Linked DNA regions of Schizosaccharomyces pombe. The gene in region 1 interacts genetically with each later gene. Each region holds a gene or a part of one and is shown on either strand. Other genes may lie near its edges.

Evidence for each region.
Region 2: mutations in sec73 (region 1) and alm1 are lethal when combined (synthetic lethality), as found in Schizosaccharomyces pombe (one study listed by BioGRID).

Annotation. Positions count from the first base shown.
Region 1 is NC_003424.3:2,488,236-2,495,024, reverse strand, and holds sec73 (guanyl-nucleotide exchange factor Sec73), read right to left. Parts: upstream 4,950-6,789; 5' UTR 4,163-4,949; coding exon 914-4,162; 3' UTR 662-913; downstream 1-661. Other genes in the region: RING finger-like protein Ini1, read left to right, coding at 1-129, 169-211; ltc2 (BAR and PH domain-containing protein), read left to right, coding at 6,088-6,789.
Region 2 is NC_003424.3:3,190,745-3,198,687, reverse strand, and holds alm1 (nucleoporin Alm1), read left to right. Parts: upstream 1-1,920; 5' UTR 1,921-1,972; coding exon 1,973-7,156; 3' UTR 7,157-7,241; downstream 7,242-7,943. Other genes in the region: ntr1 (RNA-binding splicing factor), read left to right, coding at 7,897-7,943. UniProt on the Schizosaccharomyces pombe protein: Maintains the proteasome and its anchor cut8 at the nucleus envelope and is required for kinetochore component proteostasis. Proper kinetochore stoichiometry ensures the correct attachment of kinetochores to spindle microtubules during cytokinesis.

The DNA.
Region 1 (6,789 bases):
TGGAGCTCCAGGTGTTTCTGATTGTTATTATTGTTCGGAATGCACACGTATGGAATATGATCGTGATGGTTGCCCTCGTGTTATAAATCTTGGTTCCAGTCGGACGGATTGGTTTTATGAACGGAAAAAGTAAGTTAACAATTTGCATCGCATACTCACCATTTTTAGGTTTAAAAATGCTGGAAAAGAAATGCCGGGTGCAACGTATTAATAGTACATCTAATGGTAGACTTGTTTCCTAATTCCACTAATTTCCGGTTATGGTATTTATATTATGTTTGGTGCTTTTTCATTATTTTCAATTTATAACTTACTATGCTATTGATTGTTTGCAGCATTATTTAATTTTTGGGTATTAATATACGAAAACAAAAAAATTTTTATAACTCGTATTCGCTGAAAAGCAAAGAAAAATAGTTTATACTCTTTTTCGTCTTTCTACATGCGGTGCAGAATTATTTCGAAATGTAGTACGACATTTATCAATGAACTAAAAATTGTTATTAGAAGTTAATTAGACTCATGTTTATTCATTATCCACCTATTCCTTTAGTCTTCTGTTTTGTGGATCATCTCATAATCCAAGTAGCTCGACGGATAAAATATATAATTAACATAAACGCTTAAATTTTTCCACATATTTAAGAATTGCCATAATACATCAAAATCGCTACCAAATGTTACGCTCTTCAATTAATGTTCTTAAAGCATCGTAACTACAGCAATGTGTACTTTCGAACGGCTAAGAGAGATAAAATTTATTATTATGGATTTAGAGATAATTAATAAATAAAGCGGGAATCCTTGTCTATACGCGGATATGAATTCAAATAAGAAAAATCAAAAAAAAAAAGAGAAATCACTTTAGATGAACAAATATTTAGATAATAGTAGTTAACATTTGATATACATGCTAATTATCAGAAGTAGCAGAATGCCATTTCGATAGGCTATTCATACTAAACTCATCATGTTCCTTATATGGATCCGTGCGAAAATCTTCTGATGAGTACAGGTTCAAAGCAAACCCGCTATCTGTATCGTCCGAAAATGTTTGCCATTGATCTAAACATGTAGTCACGGAACCTAAGCTAGCTGTGTCAGCTAATTCATCATCAAAGGCTTCAATTTGAAGCCTCAATTGGCTGGGTTTACCGGGCGAGCTTTCGCTTGTATCTTCAAAACCAAAAATATCTTCGACAGGCTCATCTTTAACATTGTCCGAGTAAACCTTTGGTGAAAGTATTTCAGGAGTAAAAAATGTCGATGAGGGGTTTTCGGGGTTGCCTTTCAAGTTGAAATTATTATCAGGATCCAAAAGATGCGGTACATCTCTATCTGATGATTCTTTTTCAACATCATGTGTTTGACGATTGATTGAGTTGATGCTCGGATTTTTTAGGGTGCTTGGGCTTGTCGAAGAAGGTCTGTCGTCGATGTCATTAGAACTTTCAAGAGAAATGCATTTATCTAAATCAGATTCAAACCGCAATACTTGCAATTGTGACTCCATTTTTCTGATTTCCAAATATAATGATTGCGCTTTAGCATCGACCTTTTTAAGGGCTTGTAAAATAACTACTCTTGTTTTCGGCTGTAGGGGTGCACATGTCGATAAATTTTTGGCATTTCTTTGTAATACCATGAGTTTCTTATTGAACTCAGTAATAGATGTTTCAAGTTGGTCAATACGTGTCTTAATTGTCCGGGCACGTGCAATTTCCATATCCTGTTTCATTTGAGCTTCAATTGCTGCTAATTCTTCCTCCATATACTTTGGATAGCAAGAAAAGTCTCTTTTAGGATGGTAAGAATCACTTACAGGCATTCGCAGACCAGCTGTACGAAGTGTTGAGATGTAGTTAATTTTAGCTACCCATTCTATCATGCTTTCTTCTGTTGGAGCACAAAGAGTCTCTTCAGATCCATCCCGAAATATGACGGTAAAAGAACAATTGCGTACATTCTTCTTATCTCTGTCACAATAGGCAAACGCATTAACAAGCGAATAACTGGTATCGGGGGAAAACTCTTCTAGAGGTGGAGTAAATACAAGCGGAGGAATTTTTGGAAATTCATATTCCATAGCCTCTGTATCTATACCTTGCAACGTGTCAAAACTGCTCGAGGTAGTTGTAAAATTTTTGTAACGCCTTTCATAAGCTTTCTTTTGAGCCATGAGATCTTTAGCCCATACCAAATTACGAAAAAAAAGTATTCTAGAAGCGGTCAACAAAACCAAATGCTCTTTGTATGAATTGTGCCCCACACTTCTTCGCTTCTTTTCACACCGTGGTAAAATGCCCAGCATACTGATACTAAAATCAACTAGTCCCGGGTCAGCATTGTCTGGTAATCCAATAAAATGATTGGAGAATGCCATTGGATGAGATCTTTTAGAAACAAGCTGAATTATCGCAGGGCTGGAAATCAACTTTCTAACGTTCAGCAAAGACGCAATATCTTTGATACCTGGAGATATGAATTTTCCATCATAAGAGAGAGATATTTCAGGCCGTGAAATATTCAATTGATTTTCTAACGTAAATGTGTAAGGAGAAAGCCCTAACCTTTTACGAGATGTGAAATTGTACTTTTCGTTCTTTTCCTTCTCAATGAGAAGCAACTCATCATCCAGGTTGACAAAAGGAGTAAAGGTAATATTGTCATAATAATACTCCATTATCTCCGGAGCTAATTCATCTATGTCACAGAGATTTATGAATTCCTGCTTCGTCATTTTATGCTTATTATTTGAATTAAAAACGTCAGTGTGGAGCATCATCAAAGAAAACACCAGAATGTAACACTGATCTTGGGAACTGAACATCCCAGGGTTACATTCAAAATAGCGCTTAGAGAATGCATTGATGACACGATCAATCTGTTGAGTTTCCTTAGGAAGGTGAGATTTAAGTAAAAATAACCGCAAGCAAAAATCCAACGGCCGATTTTCAAACTCCATTCCCGACATACAAAGGTGCAGAGCTTTGTTCAATGTTACATGATCCTTTTCTGCTAGAACAGGGATCATACGACTATAAGGAACTGTCTCTCTAAGCTTTGAGAGATAACTCTCCGCAGTATCATCTGCTGTGAGCTCCGGAACAGAAGAAAGAAACTTGGTCGGATTAGGCTTAATATCAGAAAATAAAGCCGAATTTTCAATAGTCTGAGCTACGCATTCGTCATCATCCCGGCGCAAAGTTCGAAAACTAAAAATACTAGAACGGTTTTCTCTCAATCTTTCTAAAGTCCTTTGGGTAGGAATCGTAGAACTACGAGGCCGTGACCGAGAGCTTTGTGGCTGTGGTTGTTCAACATCATTAGGAATAGAAGGCGAACGATACAACCGGAGGGAACCCACAGAAGAAGAAGGTGATGGAACGTTAGAAGTCTGATCGCTTTTATCAACTGGCTTAATGTAATCAGAAGATATGGAAAACTGGATAGGAGGTCTTTTTACTACAGGTAAAGAAGCAATGCGTTTCCCCAGGTCGGACATTTTGACACTACTTTTCCGAGTACCATTCTGTAAAATCGTATTATCAGATTCCGCTGACAAATTCTCATTTTGCTGGTTTAGAGGGCCACCAGCTTTATCGAGAGAACCAACTTCAGAAGGAGAACTAGTAGTTGAGTTAACATCGGGATTCCAGGACTTCCTAGACCACTTCGGAAATCGAAAAAATGATCGAGAAGCACGAAGTTTCGCCGAGTTGATACTAGATGGTGATTTCAAAGAAGGATTGGAACCGCTTAGGTCTGTCGAAATAGGAGACGTGACATCTTTTGGAAAATTGGAATCGTTTGAAACGCTTTGACTTGAATACGATGCAACAGGAGAATTTGCTTGCTGCAAATCCGAAGACCAGTTGTGGTTGAAGTAAAACGAGTGCTTGGCTCTTGCGATCGGATAAAAAATATTTTTTTTCTTAGAAGAGGGCGAATTACTCAAGTCGGTCTGTGAATTACTTGTGAAAGATCCGCTTGACTTTAGTTTACTGTTATGCTCATTTAGTTTTTCTGAACGTTTGGACAGATATGTCTGACTAGACTTTTTAAAGAAAGAGGAGAAACTAGAAGCGTTAGGAGAATTTACAGTGGTATCCTTTTCGGATTTATTTGAAGACTCCTGGCTGGAAGGAATTCTGAAGGTCATTTCGCGCCTCGGCGCATGTAAGTTGAAGAAAAAGAAAGACTTAAAAAAGATTGAAGTAAAGAGAGACCTCGAAAATGAAAGGAAGATTCAAAAAGAAATGTAATGTAAACTTAAGTCAGGATCTAAATTTATAACAATTGGAGACAGTAGATAGATTTGTCGACTATACGAGGATAAAACTGACTGTAATAAGGAGAAAGCAACCAACGTATTACCTTTAATGAACAGATATTTTTTCCCGAATAATCAAAAGAAAAATCAATTGAGAAACTACCGAAGCGAACGAACAAGGGAAAAACAATTAGTGATTAATATAATGCATGCAGCATGGAATGAAATGAAATGAATGAAAAGTAATGAACTGGAAGGTATGGAAGATGAAAAATGGTTATGAACAAAGAACGAGAAACTGAAACGAAGATGTAAAAGTGAAACTTCTGTGAGACGGTTCAAATGAATCGAAATTTTTTAAAAAAAAAAGCACAAAAACCAAGTGTGATCTGATTTAGGCAGCGCAGAGCAAACCGAATAAGCAAAGCAACGAAAGTAAAATGAACTCTAGTAATTTGAAACCCTCAATGGAAATACGAACACAAAATTAATGAGCAAAAGTCATGTCCTTGGGTTGATAGCAGGAAATTTAATGAATCGTCAATTGCTAACCAATTCAACTAATTAATTTCCCTAGAATTTTAATAATGAGTACAAGTTTTGGTGCTCCAGAAAAAAGAATTGAAAAGTAAATACTAGTTTTGTTGGTTACAGTAGTGTTATTTGCTCCGTCCACAACATGCCCGTGTCTTTATCGCCCAATGCATACAAACCCGCCCACCGCAAGGTATTCTGCCACACCCTTCCTCGTATGACCAAATCCGACATGGTCTGATAGAAACGTAGATAGCAAATGGCTAGCACGATGTTCCTGATAATCTAATGGGGCAAATGGCACCATAATGTAGTTTATTTTTTTATTTCTAATGTCAATGATTTAGAAAAATTTAGTTCGCTATCGCAAGTGCTTAAGATACACTACTTCAAAATTATAAACATAACAAATATTTTTAACAAGCTCAGCTGAACATGTTTCTAGGTTGCACCCTTTACTCATTATAATAATTTTTTTTTTAAAAATTAATTTTGAAAGCAAATAGCAACCAGATGTGGCAATAAAAAAAGTAACAAGTAATTTACCCACAACAGAAAAATCTAGGTATTTTTTATAATTTTAGAGATGCTTTTGTTTTACTATATACATAATTCCTAACTGTTCATAAAATTTATTTAACCACTTTACCAAATATTTTGTTTACATACCAATTGAAGTACAACCAAACCTGACCATTACAGTTATTGATCGTGCTCAATTTGTATATTGTTTTATAATGACTTAAAAAAGATTAAGTGCAAACATCAAGTATAAATTAAGATACTATGCTCACAAATTAGTGCCACAATTTTTGTAATAAGGCTAACTCATTCTTAGTAAATTTTACTTAAAAAAGAAGAAAACGAAAAATTAAAAGCACTTTTATTTTTCTAATAGTAAATGTATTTATATTTATGATATGTATAAGGATGGAATCATTTCACTTATATATTTTAAGTAAAAATTCCTTAGCTAGCTGAAACATTTTCCTTGTGATTAAATTTCTAACACTCAGTTATTTCGTATTTGTTTACCTTATAATAGAAGTACTTAAATATCGTTATTCTAATATAACGAATTGCTTCATCTTGGTTAAAAAATGCAGCGTCACTCTTAAGTCAAAAACATCAAGTACGCCGCTACAAACATGCCGCATCCGACAGCCGAAAGCGCATATACCGGTTTAAAAATCATCCTTTAGACGAGTGGACATATCGTTCTTAATGCTTTCTTATATGAATTGAAGTTTTTGGAAACTAATAGAAGGAAATGAAAAATCATGGCCGCTCCTGCAAATGCGTCTTCAAAAAAGGATCATGTTATTCCAGTCTTACTGAACGAATGTAGCATTGATTCTCCGTCTTTTAGGGCGAGCATGTATTATCTAGGGAATCAAATCAAAGCGTTTAACGAATGGTCTCATGATTTCTTATGTTGCTGCAACAAGTTTATCGAGTCAATAATGGCGATAGAGCCCATTGTCGCCAGTATGTCGTTGAATGCTATGCCTTCTAATGTTGCTTCAGGATTTTTTGATCCTGATTATGCAACAACCGCTTTGCTTCACGGTCAAGACTTATTTCGGTCGTCATATATGGTGCAACTTCAACAAGCTAAAAATTTACGGAAATTTATTGTTGCTCCATTAGATCTATTTCGAGATTCAAAAGTTAAGCCTTTGCTTCAATTAAATGATCGCTTTAAAGCCGAGCAAGCCAAGTATGATGCGGAAGTCTTAAGGTATTCTTCTCTTGGACATTCAAAAGATTTATCGCAAATGCGGGATGAAGCAAAATCTTTATACGAAGCTCGTAAAAGTTATTTTACAGTTGCTCTACAATACGTAGTTCGAGTTACCTCCTTTCGCTCATCCATTGATTTCATAGTTATTGAAAGCATTTGCAAGTTTTCAATTGAAACGTTTCGTTTGACTGATCGTCTGCACGAGTCCAATAGGCATATAAATGATCAACTAATTCGC
Region 2 (7,943 bases), 700 kb from region 1:
GAACCCGCAGTGTTCGCATTTCCGAATAAACTTCCGCCAGTGCCGGTAGCATTAGTAGCTGTGTTGGTATTAGCACCGGCTCCTAAACCACCAAACAAACCTGTCCCTGCTGGTTTAGGAGCAGTGGTAGCAGTGGATCCAAAAGCTGGCTTGGGAGCATTATTAGCATTTTGCCCAAAAGAAAAACCTCCGCTGGCAGGAGTAGTGGTCGTGGAACCAAAACCGAATCCAGAAGGCTTAGTGGCTGCATTATTATTGGCACCAAAGGAAAAATTACTACTATTGTTACCACCAAAAGTAGATGTTGGAGCGGTGTTATTATTTGCCGTATTATTATTAGCGCCAAAACCAAACAAACCTGTACCCATGGTACCTGAATTGGGTTGGTTATTCGTGTTGCTTCCAAACCCCCCAGTAGAAGAACCAAATCCCGTACCCGTACCAGTGGCAGCACCACCAAATAAGCCACCCGTAGTTTGACCTGTTCCTGTATTGGTTGCGTTATTTGAACCAAAAAGACCCGTTCCTGTACCAGTATTGGTAGTGTTAGTGGTTGAGCCAAAACCTGAAAAAGCTGGTTTTTGTTGATTAAATGTAGAGCCACCAAAAAGACCGGTTGAAGGAGTTGAGGTGGTATTATTGTTTTGACCAAATAACCCACCGGATGCATTATTTGTTCCAGAACCAAACCCTGTATTGGTAGTGTTACTACCAAATGCAGATCCACCGCCAAAGAGACCGGAACCAGGAGTGGTATTAGTAGCATTCGATGTACCAAACGGTGTTGCATTATTTGTGGTACCTGACAAATTCTGACCAAACGGAGTAGTTGAAGCTCCAAATGCGGGTGTTGAACCAAATGCAGAAGTAGTGTTCGTACTAGAAGCATTGCCAAAACGTCGTCCTTGATTATAGTCTTGTAAACGCAACTCTTCAAATGAATAAGATCTATAAGCGGGCATACAAGTTATAGACTGGAAGACACTAGTACCGTTTGTTTGAGGGTCTTTTTCAGAAGTTACCGCATAAGGTGGGTTAGCTGTACCATTCACAGCGTTTGCATTGCTTGAGACAAATCCAGAGGTTCCGAAAGCGTTGGTCGTAGCGGGTGTAGTGGACGAACCAAACAAGCCACCACCAGTACCTTGCGAACCAAACCTGTATTTCCAGCAGTATTGCCAGCGTTATTTTGAGAACCAAACAAGCCACCACCGGTACCAGTATTCGATGCAGTGTTACCGAACCCTGTTGAACCAGCGTTCGATCCAAAAGAAAATGACGTTCCAGTATTTGCATTGTTGTTGGCGGTATTTGATCCAAAGAGGCCACCACCACTAGGATTTGTGGCGTTGTTCGTGCCTCCAAAAGCAGGAGTATTGGATTGGCCAAACATACCTGTCCCAGAGGACATTCCAAAACCTGTGCCACCAGTCGTGGTAGTGTTGTTTCTATTTCCAAATAGTCCACCGTTCGTATTTGATCCAAACAAGGGTTGAGTAGTGTTCTGCCCAAAGCCAGTTGTAGAAGTGTTTTGGGAACCAAACAAAGTGTTCCCTGGAGTATTGGAGTTGGAACCAAATAACCCACCAGTTTGTTGATTATTTTGACCGAAAGCACCGGTTCCTCCTCCAAATCCGGAAGAATTGTTTTGTCCAAACATCACTAGGATGATATTTGATTAAATAATTAGTAAAGTCACCAAAATTGGTGTTGTGTGGACGACAGGTCCGAATAGTGCACTGCTACTCAAGATACGTTCAAGGCGTGATAGAGAAGAATACAGAAATTTAGCTTTTTTTTTAATACTCACGGTAATTACAATTTTTAAATTTGCTTCATTTGTTTTTCTCAACGTAATTGTCGCATTTCTTCTAACGTGGTATTATTTCTGTACATCGAGGTTGATCACTTACTTCTCGTATACGTACACTGGTGCTTCATAAGTCATCGAACGTTGATTCCAGGCTAGAAAATGTCTTCGGGGGGACTTGAAGATGATATTCAGCTGGTACACGAGTTTTTGGATGTATCTTTTGAGGATATAAAACCCCTGGTGTCTGTCAATGGTTTCGCTGTATTTATATCTGCTATTAAAACCAAGGTTAAAGACATAAACGCTTTAAAGGATCAGCTTGTCCTTCAAGAAGTCAACCATGAGCATAAGGAGAATGTTCTTACGAAGAAGATTAACTTTCTTGAGCAACAACTTCAATCTTCTAATAATCAAGCAGAGGAATCACGTAATCTTATATCGGTATTGAGAAATGAGAACGAATCGCTGAAAACCAACTTGGAGAATCAAAATAAGCGCTTTGATGCATTGACTACTGAGAACCAGTCGCTTAGAAGGGCTAACTCTGAATTACAAGAGCAATCTAAGATTGCTTCTGAGCAGCTTTCAATCGCGAAAGATCAAATCGAAGCCCTACAAAATGAAAATTCACATTTAGGAGAGCAAGTCCAGAGTGCGCATCAAGCATTGTCTGATATTGAAGAAAGAAAGAAACAGCACATGTTTGCTAGCAGTAGCAGTCGTGTCAAGGAAGAGATACTCGTTCAGGAGAAAAGCGCTTTAGTCTCTGATTTGGCTAGTTTGCAATCAGATCATTCGAAAGTTTGCGAAAAATTAGAAGTTTCATCTCGTCAAGTTCAAGATTTGGAGAAAAAGCTTGCTGGGCTTGCCCAACAGAATACAGAGCTTAACGAAAAAATACAGCTTTTTGAGCAAAAGCGGAGCAATTATTCCTCCGATGGGAACATATCAAAAATCCTTGAAACCGACCCCACTTCAATCAAAGAACTTGAAGAAGAAGTGGAAACTCAGAAACGACTTACAGCTCTTTGGGAGTCTAAATCTTCAGAGTTGCAATCAGAGGTTGCTGCACTTCAAGAAAAGCTCACTTCGCAACAAAGTCTATACAATAATGTGACCGAAGAGTTAAATAATAACAAGCAACAGCTATTGATTTCGGAGAATAGTTTGCGGGAACTGCAAGAGAAATATGATAGTGTAGTTAGTGAACTACAAGTGGTTAAAGAAAATAAAAATACCTCTGTTTCAGCTGGTGTAGGTTTGTTTTCTCCTTTGGCGCAAAAGTTAAGCGCCGTTCAAAATCCCGAATTTTCATTTACGAAAGTATATTCGGACAATATGAAACTCCAACAGAAGGTTTCTAGCTTAAAGCTTCAGCTAGACCGCTTGACTAACAAATTCTCCTCATTTTGTGAACAAGTTAAACAAAGGATTCCAGTTGTCAAACAACAGAGGAGTGAAATCGTTAGGAATAACATTTATATGAATTTTCTTAGCGAATCTTTGGAAACATCTAACAACAACCTAACCAAAGTACAAGCAGAGCTTTTATCGACCAAAATGCGCCAAGAAGCTTGTTACTTGCAGCTCACCGCATCTCGTACTCAATGCAGTGATCTTTCTCGAGAAGTTATTTGTCTCATGGCCGAACTTGATCATTTGAATGAAACTAAATCAAGAAACGTTCCCGCTACTGTGCAAGTTGCGCTTGATGAATACGCTCAAAATCCCTCTACTGCATCTGAGACACTAGTAAACAAGGAGCTTGCTAATTTTTCATCTATAAAGGAAGCTGTTTCGAAAACTCTAGAACTGCGGGAAAAAGTGCGGGCCCTTGAATGCGATGTTGAAATCCAAAAGCAAACTGTCCAATATCAAATTTCCAATGCAGTTAAAGAAAATTCAAATACACTTTCAGAGCAAATCAAAAATTTGGAAAGTGAGTTAAATTCGTCAAAAATAAAAAATGAGTCCTTACTTAATGAACGAAATTTACTGAAAGAAATGTTAGCTACTTCTCGAAGCAGTATTTTGTCTCACAATTCTTCCGCGGGCAATATTGATGACAAAATGAAATCCATTGATGAATCTACAAGAGAACTTGAGAAAAATTACGAAGTTTATCGTAACGAAATGACAGCTATTCAGGAATCCTTGTCTAAGCGAAATCAGGATTTGTTGAGTGAGATGGAAGCAATACGTAAAGAGTTAGAAAATTCCAAATATCAGCAGCAGTTATCTACTGATAGATTAACTAATGCTAATAATGACGTTGAAGCCTTTAAAAAGGAAGCCAAGGAGCTTCGTAGTATTAATCAAAATTTACAGGATATAATTAGTCGACAGGATCAGAGAGCCAGTAAATTTGCCGAAGAATTATTACATGTTAACTCACTTGCTGAAAGATTAAAAGGTGAACTAAATGCTTCGAAGGGTGAAAAAGATTTACGGAAAAGGACGCAAGAGCGTTTAATATCTGAAAACGATAAACTTTTGGCTGAGCGCGAGAGACTAATGAGTCTTGTATCAGATCTTCAAACTTTTCTTAACCAGCAACAGCTATCTGATGCTGCTAGAAAAGTAAAATTTGAATCTGAGAAGGAAAGCTTAAGCCTTTCCTTGCAGAAGTTGAAGGAGTCAAATGAAAAGATGAGTAATGATCTTCATTCTCTACAGAAATCTTTGGAAAAGAGCGGAATTGAGTACTCCAGCAGGATTAAGACATTAATGCTCGAAAAACAATCGTTAAGTGAAGACAACAGGAAATTGTTAGATAATCAACAAATGATGGAAATAAAACTCCAAGAATTAAACGGCGTCATTGAACTTGAAAAACAAAGATTTTCTACTTTGGAAGCCAAGTTTACACAGCAAAAAAATACGTCCTATAGCGAAAGGGAAGCTTTGCTAGAATCATCGCTTAGTGACTTGCAATCTAAACATACTTCCTTAGAATCCCAATACAATTATTCTTTAAGGAATATTGAACAGTTACAGGCCGCAAGCAAACTCGCCGAAGAAATGGTTGAAAGAGTTAAAACTGAGTATGATGAGTATCGATTGCAAACTTCAGAGTCCTTGGAAAAAAATCATTTAAAAATCACTTCTCTTGAACAAAGGATAGTTATTCTACAAGATGAGATAGCTTCTTCTTCTTTACGCTGTGAGAATATTACTAAAGATAGCGAAACAAGAGTTGCCTTGCTTTTAGAGGAAAATAAGCATCTTAACAATGAGCTTTCGTCACACCGAAATGCTGAAAAGCAACATTTAGAGAAGGAGAATGATTATAAACAACAGTTGTTGTTGGTAACTGAAGATTTAAGAAAAACTCGTGAAGATTATGAAAAGGAACTTTTAAGACATGCCGATGCTAGATCGACTCTTCAAAAACTGCGCGAGGATTACACGAAGGCATTAGAACAGGTTGAAGATTTGAATAAAGAAATAGCCTTAAAGGCCGGTATAAACGAATCTCAGCCCTTTCCCATTAGTGAAAAAGAAGATCCTTTGAGACAGGAAGTTTATGTCCTCAAAAAGCAAAACGCAATGCTTTTAACCCAACTTCAATCTTCCAATCTCAACTTTGCAGAAATAACTAGCCCATCCCCGGATTTAGATTCTGTTATGAAATTAGGATTATCAGATTTACAGAATCATGTGAAGCGTATATCCAAAGAAATGGAGATTATTTCATGCCAACGACAATTATTATTCCTTGAAAATAAGAAACTCAAGCGAACCGTTGAATCATCGAATCGAGTTATCGCCGATCTGCAAAGAGGTATAACGGAAAAGGATGTTAGCAGTACTTCTGAATCCGTTGGGGAACGTTCAAATTATCTAAACATGGTTGCTTTATTAAATGAGAGCAACAAATCTCTCCGAGAAAATTTAGAAAGGAACGAGGAAGTTATCACAGAGTTAAGAGAGAAAATAGAAACTCTTAAAACTGATTTGGCGAATTTTAGACTTAATAAAGAACAACTAGAATCACAGCTTCAAACAGAGAAAGCAGCTGTAAAAAAGCTTGAAAACAGCAACGAAGAATACAAGCGTCATAACCAAGAAATATTACTATCTTTGAACAGTAGCACATCTACGTCTAGTGATGCTTCACGCTTAAAGAATGAACTTGTTTCCAAAGAAAACTTAATAGAGGAGTTAAATCAAGAAATTGGTCATTTGAAATCTGAATTGGAAACTGTTAAATCAAAAAGCGAAGATTTGGAAAATGAGAGAGCGCAAAACCAATCCAAGATTGAACAATTAGAGTTGAAGAATACAAAACTAGCAGCTGCTTGGCGAACTAAATATGAGCAGGTAGTTAACAAGAGCTTAGAAAAGCACAATCAAATACGTCAACAACTTTCGCAAAAGACTTCTGAATTAGAAGCCAAGGTTGCGGAATGTCATCAGCTCAATGAACAACTCAACAAACCTTCTGCAACCCCCACTGCTACTACACAGTCTGAACCAAGTACGGTGTCACTGGAAGAATTCAATAGCACTAAGGAAGAACTATCTTCTACACAGCGAAAGCTAAGTGAAATTATGGATATCTTAAATACTACGAAGGAGGAGCTTGAGAAGGTCAGACAAAATAGTAATAAATCTGAGGGAACCAGTAAGGATACTGAAATACCCAACGAAGAAGAAATGGAAAGGAAGAAAGTCATGCAACAGGAAGTTTTGAGGTTACGTTCGAGAATTGCAAAAGAGCTACAGAAAAACGAATTACTCAGGAAACAAAATCAGGTTTTACAAGATCAAGTGAAAGCTTTGCAAGAGACAGTTGTGTCATCCGAGGAAGCAGAGTCCGCTTCGGTACATGCTGATACTAAAGATTTGGAAAACTTAAAAAAGACAGAAGAGATGTTATCAGTTACATTTCAAGTAATCTTCAACGAGTCCATATCTGACTTTTCGACTTCCACTGCCGACTTTACTACTTTTGTGCAAAAGGAATGGGAAAAGCGCAGAGAAATTTTACAGAAGGATGTTGAGGAACAAGTTGCTCAGTCGCATCAAAAACAACTAGATAACATCCGAAAAGAACTCGAGATGCGTAACAAGTTGAAGTTGAGCATGCTGGAAAAGAACTTAGCTAGAGTGCGAGCAGAGTTGGAGCAATCGAAGAAAAAAGATAGCCCTGCAATTTTAAGTTTGGAAGCTTCTAAAAACACTGATTCCAATAAAAGCAATTCTGAAGTCCCAGCAGCTCAAGTTAAAGAGAAAAAGTTAATCGCCAAAACTCACTCTGTTGACACTAATTCTCCTCCTAAACGGTCCAGTTCAGACGCTGGTATGGATGTTTCCAATGATGTTAAGAAAGCCAAATAGTAAAATATGAATTTTTTGGTATAATGCCCTTTTTAATGTTTCTTAAGAGTTTGTAAACAGATAATAAAATAGGTTAGCTGCATAATTATTATTTCTGGTTTCCAATAAAAAAAACGACTTTAATTTTATTATAATAAAAAGCTTTGTATTGTAATTTAATATTTTGATATTTTTTGAAGAGCTATAGATATTTTGCGCAACTAATGTCCTTATTCAGATATGTAAGCTACGCAGTTTGGTATCTGATTTAAGGATACGTAGAACTGCGGTGAGTTTTCCTTGTGGTCTATTATATTACAATACACAGGTTGTATAAGTAGCAACTGAGTATAGGTATTGTATTAACTGGGTTATAATGTTACCTATCACTAATATAGCTCATAACTGAACTGAGGAACGAGGTTCAGTTGTAACGGTATTTATAATATTTCTAAATAGTTGTTATCAACGGGTAACTATGTATATAGACGGATAGTTACCCGTGATTATCAATAAACGGATCTTAGCTAGTATTCCAACATATGACATATAGTGATACGCAACGTAGTGTATCATAGCGTAGTGTAGTATTGCTGACAAGATAAAATAAATAATGACGTTTTCGCGTGTTCTTAAGCTTAAGAACGTAACGCGCAAAAACTCATTATATGACATCCATATTTAACCCACTGGAGAACTGACCCAAAATAGAAAATTTCGGTTTTCATTGGTTTTTATTTATATTGAATTCTTGGGTTGATATGCAAAATGAGTATGTCGATATGAATTCATCTTCCGAGGATTCAGA